Linked DNA regions of Schizosaccharomyces pombe. Changing the gene in region 2 together with the main gene of any one other region gives a genetic interaction. Each region holds a gene or a part of one and is shown on either strand. Other genes may lie near its edges.

Region 1 (3,493 bases), on a different chromosome or scaffold from region 2:
CAGTGTCAACACCAGTAGCTACAGTATTAGCGGTGCTTGAAATGACCTTTTTTGATAATTGTACAGGAGCACTTTCCCAAGCTTTTTGGGCATATGAGCCAATCTTGGCACCAGCTTTGCCAACAGTTTTTCCTGTGAAAGATGAAGCTGCAGTAGTTCCCGAGCGCGCTTTTTCGTAAGCATCTCTCGCTTTTTTGAAAGTGTCGCTTTCACTTAATGATCCTGAACTATCTTGCAATGCTTTGACACTGTCCTGTAATTCCTGGCTCTTCTTTAATTCTGCTCTAAATGTATCCATGAACACCTTGATTGGCGATTGAGGTGCTGCATTTTGAGAGAATATAGACGTTTGGAAAAACCGCTGGCATTGAACTATTGTGCGGGCATTTTTTGTGATTTTTCTTGATAGAAACATTTTCTTTCCTATTGAATAAATAAATCTCAACGCTATTACGCGAAAATTAATCCACTTTGCTGCCTTTTATTGCAAACCGATATAGCAGCCTAGTGAGTGGTGGATGGAAGGTTCAAGTGCCACAAAGGTGGAAAGATACCTTAATCCTAAATATCGAGAAGTAGTCTTTTGTTAACAAAAGTTAGCATATTCTCTTATATTTGGACTTTTTTACTTTACTAAGAGGAGTTTACGATTAGAATTTTTACGAATTCGCTCATTTTATCTGAAATGCAACTATTAAAATATTGATATAGAGGGAAGCATAAATTACGCATGATCCTAATATATTAAAGAATAAGAGTACCGATCAATTTCCTTTCGTATTGGTTGAAACAGTCGTAGCTGTTGCTTACAATATTGTTGGGAATCGATACCATGTGGGTGGTAAGAGATCGTATGAAGTTATGAAAAAAAGTATTCAATAAGCAGCATAGATATATTACAATGCGTTATATAGAACTGGATAATTTGAGTATGTAGCGGGTTTTGGAGATAAAAGCAATAGTATTAATTAGCATTTTGAAGTTTCGTTTATTCATTTGTAGAGATTTTTCAAATCTAGAAAAATTTAAAGATCTCTTAATTTTGTATCTTTTTTTTTTTTTTTATCAGTTTGATAGAATGTTTGTATGTAATTCTTTCTAATAACATGCGACGTTTGTTGTGCCCCTAAGTTTCTTTGATGAAATTTATTTGAAAATAAGGAAGTAGCTGGTTTATACAGAATTCAAAAGGCGCATTTAAGTTGTAGTAAACCTCGAATTTTTCTGATGATTAATGTGTTTCATGATTTTTTATGAAAACAGTTGTTGAAGCTCCTATATTATTTATCACAGGTTGTAAATTTTCAGCTTCAATAACGAAATGGGATACTTAAAGTCATAACTGATCAATTTTGGCAGACAGATCTAGCTTTAAAAGCTTAGATTCATTCAACATCAAGTTTATACGAAATGATCAGTTGTAATACACTTCCAACTTTTCTGATAATGATTCAGAATGATTACAACATAGTATAGTTGGAATGTAAAATTATTTGTTTCATGAAGAACTGGTTTTCCATCTTGAACACTAGACGATAAAAGCAACCTGAATATCATAAATCATCTTCAATCCAATTAAGCAATTCAAAAACAAAACAAAACAATTTATTATGCATTTGTAAAAGTAAAAATTTAAAAGGTGATCATATTTCTTCAAATTATCGCTTTGTTTACTATTTTAAATTGTGCAGGTCACAATTGAATGTCACCTGTGAAATAATAAACCAGCCTTGGACTATAGACAACGATGTTGCCAAGAACCATGTTTTCATATGGAAAAGAAAACGCTTTTCCTGTAACTCCCATATCAAACAGAAATGGTACAAAAGGAGCGGGCTCCAAAAGAGCACCATTGGGGTCTACAAAGCAGTCGAATGCACCTTCTTCTGTAACGGTTCCTAGAACGGTACTGGGAGGTAAGAGTACTAACATTTCCAAATTTATTTCTGCTCCCAGTACAAAGAAAATGTCTCCTATGGATATTTCGATGGATTCCCCTACTATTTTGGAGCCAAACTCACAAGGAATTTCCCGATCAGCCGTACAAGAGCGGTCGAAGCGACTTTCGGCTAGCCCTCGTCGTTCCTCTTTAACAGACACTCCTTTACCAAATGAACTTGAAGAAGATATCGAATATATGCCTCCTCCTGTTCATTTGGACCCCATTCAATCCCTGGGGTTTGACGACGTTGCAATTGATTGTGAAACGCTCGATCCTTGGCCTAGCATGCAGAATAAGGCTACCTCAGTAACTATTCGTAATACACCTGCATCAGATTTCCATGTTTACAAGGAGTTCAGTGATGATGATCCTATACAATTTCCTCTGCTCAGCGTAGACGGTGACTCCCCGTTAACAGAAAAGGATACTAACCTGACAACACCCGCTACCTTGAAAGCTTCTGATCAACAAAGAAAGGTTCTCGAAAAGCCTTCTGTCAGCAAACAATCCTCTTCCAGAACACGACTCAGTACCGTTTATCGCACCAAGCTGGCATCTGGTAAATCCATCCCTCGACCCTTATCTCATAAACTCACACGACCCCGAGTAACTGCATCTGGCAATAGCCGTCGGCGCCCTTTATCTCGTTCTATTCATTCGTTATCATCTTCACGAATTGATTTTTCATCTTTGGATACAGGATTGTTATAAAAAGATTCCGAATTTTCAGGTTTTGTGCGTACTGGCTTCCGCTTCTACGATTGTAAGTATGATTCTTCCGATGGCTTTGATTTCCCTTGTTGTTTAATTTGTTTCACCACTTTAATGCTGTTCTTTTTTTTTTTTTTTTTACTTAAATGCATAAAGCCTATACGGTCCTTAATTTATGACATGTTTTTCGTTCATGACTTTTCTGTACAAATGATTTCCTTTTCTATATGCTTTTTTTTTTTTGGCTTTTCTGGTTCAATATTTTACTATTGTAATGTAGATGAATTATGTTAATAATATTGTTATTTTCATTCTACGTTGATGAATATTATAAATACTAGTAGGTAAGATGCTGAGGAATAGAACATTTTCCAGTGTTAGTAGTAGTAAAGTGACTGATAAAGAGCAAAGGTATCCAAAAATTTTGGCTACACATAAAAATATGTACTAGGTCAAAGACAAATTTCTGTGTTTTACAGCAGATGCACACATTCCAAAAAAAATTAAGATGATTGAAAAAAAAACACTATATAAACGAAAACTAAAATGATCATCTAAAAAAAAAAAGGATGCAAATTAGCACAAAACAATTATATCAGCTACTTCTACTACAACAACAGTTTACTTTAATACTAATAATAAATAAACACGCAACCTGGCAAATTAATCCAAAACGCAAAAAGGATAAAAATTTCATTGCATTCTATAAAAATAAACATGTATTGTAAACATTAGTAAAATTTAATGTATGCTCAGAGTTTAAAACTTAGCAGCCTTGATGTACTTGCCAGCATGGGCACCAGCGTAAACACCCTCGGAACCGAGTTCCTCCTCGATACG
Region 2 (5,350 bases):
ATTATTAGCTTTATGAGCTTCAAGTGGTGAAGATATTGTTAGGTTAGCCTCTGAATCTCGATTTAGTACGTAAACCAGCTTATTTTTCTCCACAGATGCAATCATAGCGGCCCTCCCCTTCGCATCTATGGCTAAGTATTCACCAGGAACAACTCTTCGAATTCCTGATTTTCCAAAAGTTTCCTGGTATATTGGCACTAATTTATTTTTTTCAACGTTATATTCCAAAATGGTTATTCGTCCTGAATCCGACGTGACTACGAGATAATCGCGTTTAAAACCAGTTAATCTCAAAGGAGCAACATTTCGAATAATACCAAAACAATTTTGATTTAAAATACAATTCATTCTCCCATCAGTTGCATCAACTTTATATATAAGCAACCTTGATTCTGTAGCAATTACTATCTCCTGTGCCTTTTTACCAGACAAGGACGCGGCACACGAACTTTGAACATAATTACTATTCTGTATTGTTAAGGAATATAGAAACAGAGAAGGGAAGGTGTCCATCTCTATACTTTAGCTGAAACACGATCCTCGCTGAGAGAAGAAGTCAGTGTATCAAGGAAACTTATAGCAGAAGGTAAAAAACTTCGTTATATGTTGACTTTTCTAAATGAAGTTATTGCAATTGAAAATATTGTATAAATTTTCTGCTTTTAAATTATATTAAAGAATTAAAAAAAAGAAAAGAAAATTTAAAAGACCGCTACAAAAAATGTAACTTGCTCTTCAAAAACAAGAAAAAAAAAACATTACGACCATTAAACATAAGCTCATTAAAAAGAGAATAAACGATATCTCGAAGATTCCCTTGAAATAAGGACTCCGTAATCGCTATTCTCAGAAAGGGCATATTCGAGTGTTGAAGGAAGGAAATCCTTCTCAAATTCATGCAGCCATAGGCAACTGTTTAGTGGAATGAAAGGAAGATGACTGATAGCATCAAGGTAACTGTTTTTTTGCTGGTGCTCAAAAAAGGTTAAGGGAACGTCTGCTAAGCAAATTTCACATAAGAAGCACTTCTCCTTTAGTTTTCCAAGTATTAAAATACTACTTCCGTTTAAAAGCTTCATGTCTAAAACAGTTGCGGGCTGGAAATCCAACAGACTGCTTCCTAGTAATTCTGCATAATCCAAGCCAAAGTGGCATCCAGATACAGGCAACATAGTATTTTCCATAAGTTGGGAAATTATTAAGAATATATTCGGAGTATCCTTTCGAAAGAATAATGAAAATAATTGGTTTTTTTCATTACAGGATTTTGGTATAAGAGATGATACATTCCAATCAGTCCCTTCAAACAAAACAAGGTCTCCGGTTTTTAACCATTGCTTTTGACAAGTTAAAGAAGGGTAGCTAAAAATGACGTTGAATGAGTCTCTTAAAGATTCTTTCAAGGTTTTGAATGATACGAAATCATCAACAGAATTACTGTCGTCTTGATTTGCAAAATCCTTGAGAGAATAATAATCAGGATCTCTTAGCTGAAGGGGTTTTGTGCCCATAAAGTAACTTGTTAGTTTCGAGCGGAATAAAGAATGACGAATATAAATTACGGTTTCATTAATATGTTCAATAATCTCTTGCGGTGGAATAGAAGATGGTTCAGAAGTATTAAACTCGACGATAGCGTAATTCAACCATGAAATAAAGTGCTTCATATACTTTTTTTCCTCAAAAAGGCAATTGAGAAACGAAAAAACATTATTCTGTAAATAACCCAAAGTTGCTAGACAATCTTCCACCAATTTAGCATCTAGTAATGTGTTTCCCTTCATATGGCCCCATATTGACTTTCCTCTGGCAGAAGATAATAATACAGTTAACCTTTCACAAGCAGGTATTACGAATTCCTGACAGAAAATGATTAAGGACGTGTACGAATTCACCATCGCCCGTTCCCAATTTTTTAGTACTCGATCACCGACTCTTTCGTTGATCCATTCTTTGAGTAAGTCGCTGGGTATACCGTTCATTATAAATTGATATAACTCTAGTTGTAAAGAAAAGAAAGTTGTGTCACTGTACTTGGACACTAAAGCATCAAAGGTTTTAATAAAGCTAGCTTCTGATTTGAAGACATTGTCAAATTCTTCATACATAGCATTCAATACCTCCTCAAGATATCTTACCAAATGTTGCATACGTGTAGACATTGTTGCAATATCCACAATACTTCCCAAATCATTTTTAAGTAATGGCATATAAAGTGTTTTCAAAGAAATATTCGTTCCTCCTTTACAAATAAGAACATGATATGCTAAGTCGTTGGTTATGCTGTGTGAAATGGGAACCCCCTATAATTTGTGTGAGCAAGACATTTAATAACATGGGTATAATACCAAGTTCAAGGCTGATTTCAAAGAATCGCTTTCTCCGATTTTGTAAGACGAAAACATACTATGAATAGTTAGTACTTCTAATTTGTATCGATCGATAAAAAAACTTCTTTTAGAAAGATGCTAATAAATAAGGGGTTTTTGATACGCACTTTATGTATCTAATTCCACGTTCATCCAAAATACTTAAGAGCTCAACTTTTTTGTTATTTTCACCCTCTCGTTTCCTCGGCTCAAAAAATTGTGCGATTGCTTTTGAAGAAAATATACGTTCCCTAAAAAATGTAAGAGACAAGTCGCTTTGTGTTACTACTTACTCTTTTGCCGAACTAGGAAGTGTACCAAGTAAAGGCATATATGCAGTGGCATCAAATAAAAAATCATTGCGTTTTTCATTTACTATCGTTTCTTGCATGGCCCATGTTATCATTAGAACCGCTAAATCTCTGGAAGCTGGCCTTTGCTCAACCAGATGTCCTGTGGAGGAATCAATAATTTTAAGCTCTCCATTTTTAAATCCAACAACTATTAAATTCCCTATTTATGTTAATGATACAAAAAAAGTTTTCCAGTCGAGCCACGTACCATCGTGATTCCAACACAATTCAGTAGCCTCGAGATCATGAAAATCGACATCCCAAATTCTTTGACTGTTACTTCTACAGCAAATCAAATGATTTGAACACGTTAATATCGCAATGAGTTCCATAGAAGGGCATAAGATTACTCGTTTAAGGCCACTTCCAACCCTTTCAACTCTATTAGTTTCATTAATCCATTCAAATTTATGCTTTTTAGGGTATTTGAAAGATTTTGACACCATTTGGATAAGACTGGATGATTTTGGTGATTCGTAGAAGTTTGTTTATTGTAGTACAGCAAGTCAATAAAAGCCTGTTCAGGTATATAAAATATCTAGTGAATGGATAGTTTCAACAATTATCATACAACCTTTTTAAATTTGCTAGCATAGATGGTTTATTAGGAAGTAAGACTGATATTGCAAAACTGAAGTTGATGAAAGTTGTAGGGATACAAAACATTAAGAAAGCGATTATCCAACTGTGCATACCTCGTTAGTACGATGTTTATTTACATCTAAAGAAAAATCATTTCCTCATGGTTCAAGTTCGCTTAAAATAATTCTTTAATGATAAAAATTTCAATTGAGTTTGGCAATAAGAGATTCACTTTTAATAATTGCTGATTGCTATGTTTTAAATACATTGTAAATAAACCAATATTATTCATTAATTCAATAGCTGAAATTCTAGAATCGTTAAAAAAGTCTTTCTTTTACGCATTATATATCTTTTAATCGAAGGAGATGCCTCATAGTTGGCCTTCCATGAGGGCAATTCCAAGGCTTGCTCAACTCAGCAAGATGCCTAACTATTGTATTCATTTCGGATATAGTTAGAGCCCTACCAATCATGACACTGCTTCTACAAGCCTTTGAAGCAAGCATTCGCTCAAGCCTACTACTAAATGGGTCTATCTGTGGGTGCTCAGACAACACACTGATGATCTCTAGTAAATCTACAGAAGTTAAAGGTCAAGATCTTCGTTAATAAACTTACCACTAGTGTCAAAAATGACATTCTTACTCGTGGGAACTGAAAGAAGAGTGCAGCGATTACCAACTCGCTGATTTAAATCTATAGCAACGCCGAATCCTTTTCTTCGAATTAAATCTATATGGTCAATTAAAACAGTTTCCTCTGTAGCAGCTAAATCCAGTCTTTTTGGAAGGACTAAGTCTTGGCTGTTGATAACTAAATTACTTTTGAGATGTTCATAGTTGAACTTTTCATCGCTGGCATGTTGATCAATTATAAACAAATTGTTTCCATGAACAACCACTATGAATCCTCTATTGAATTGACCAACAACCCTCATTCTTAAAAAATCGGCTTTATGTACAGTTAGATTCAAATGATCTTCCTGATTTTCATCTGAAATATCATGCACCACGCCAATCTTGTTCGAAAATTTCAGTAAGGCATCGCTTCGAACAATATCTTTTTGCACTCCACTCAAAGATATATTTATTTTTTTACTAAACTTGTTTAAACCATCCAAGGGCCTAGATTGAAAAAATTTGAGCTTTTGTAGCGCTGCAGTTTTTGACGGAATTCTGTTCGCAACACTGGTTTGCTCAGTACGAGGAATGCTCGAGAGTGTGGAAACTGATTCTGCGTTGTGTACCGACTCAATCTCGTTTAAATTAATTGTTTTAGCAACAGGTGTTGATGCTGGACTTGGATCATTTAGTAACAAATTGTTAGGATTCGAGCTAGGTTTATTGATGGGTTGCTTTAGTGGGAAACTAGAGTCTATTGTTTTCTGCATAGAAGTATCAGTACTAGAAGCGAATAGGGCAAGCTTTTTCTTCATTCTTTCGGAAGAGGCCGTAACTTTTTCGTTTAATGGGCTACTTCGTCTCATAGAATCCTTTTGCAAACGCTCTGGCAAAGGTTTGGATACTTGTGCTAATGACGCTCCTTCTGCAACACTAGTGGATATTGCTGGTTGAGCAGTAGCTTCTACGAGCTTTCTTTTACATGGTGAGCGTTTATAAGAAAAACTTGAGTCATCACTTGTTTCGGATTCTGTTGCTGGAATTGACTGAGGCAATTCCTGATCTGTACTGTCTCCAGAGGAATCAGGAATTTGCGAGGAATATGAAAAAATGGATTGCGATCTGGAACAAGAAATTGCATGTCCGCAGCTTTCACATAGGTTTTGCAAGGAGTTTTTAATAAATTCAATTATGGAATCCTCTTCAGACAAAAATACAGATTTTTTGTCTGGAGATACATTGATGTCAATAGTTCCTAAAATAATTGGTTAGTAATGAGTGAACGTATATAGATTCTCTCAAACATAGTTTTTAAAGTGAACATACCATTTGTGATGCGAAGATTGATGGCAAAAAACGGGGATTGTGCCATACTATACGGCTTAAATACCTCTTGAATAACTCTTGCTATTTTTGGCAAATT

What was found. Genes that interact genetically often act in the same process or in processes that back each other up.
Region 1: of cut20 (region 2) and cut2, extra expression of one is lethal in a mutant of the other (dosage lethality), as found in Schizosaccharomyces pombe (2 studies listed by BioGRID, with this or other methods).

The regions. Positions count from the first base shown.
Region 1 is NC_003423.3:2,202,476-2,205,968, reverse strand, and holds cut2 (securin cut2), read left to right. Parts: upstream 1-1,752; 5' UTR 1,753-1,762; coding exon 1,763-2,653; 3' UTR 2,654-2,969; downstream 2,970-3,493. Other genes in the region: TIM23 translocase complex subunit Tim44, read right to left, coding at 1-415; eno101 (enolase), read right to left, coding at 3,413-3,493. UniProt on the Schizosaccharomyces pombe protein: Regulatory protein, which plays a central role in chromosome stability. Probably acts by blocking the action of key proteins.
Region 2 is NC_003424.3:4,041,252-4,046,601, forward strand, and holds cut20 (anaphase-promoting complex platform subcomplex scaffold WD repeat subunit Apc4/Cut20), read right to left. Parts: upstream 3,374-5,350; 5' UTR 3,169-3,373; coding exon 2,931-3,168; exon of another isoform or gene 2,883-2,930; coding exon 2,663-2,882; exon of another isoform or gene 2,621-2,662; coding exon 2,498-2,620; exon of another isoform or gene 2,478-2,497; intron 2,407-2,477; coding exon 2,349-2,406; intron 2,323-2,348; exon of another isoform or gene 2,304-2,322; coding exon 783-2,303; 3' UTR 558-782; downstream 1-557. Other genes in the region: prp12 (U2 snRNP-associated protein), read right to left, coding at 1-513; MutL family mismatch-repair protein Pms1, read right to left, coding at 3,649-3,884, 3,926-5,182, 5,254-5,350.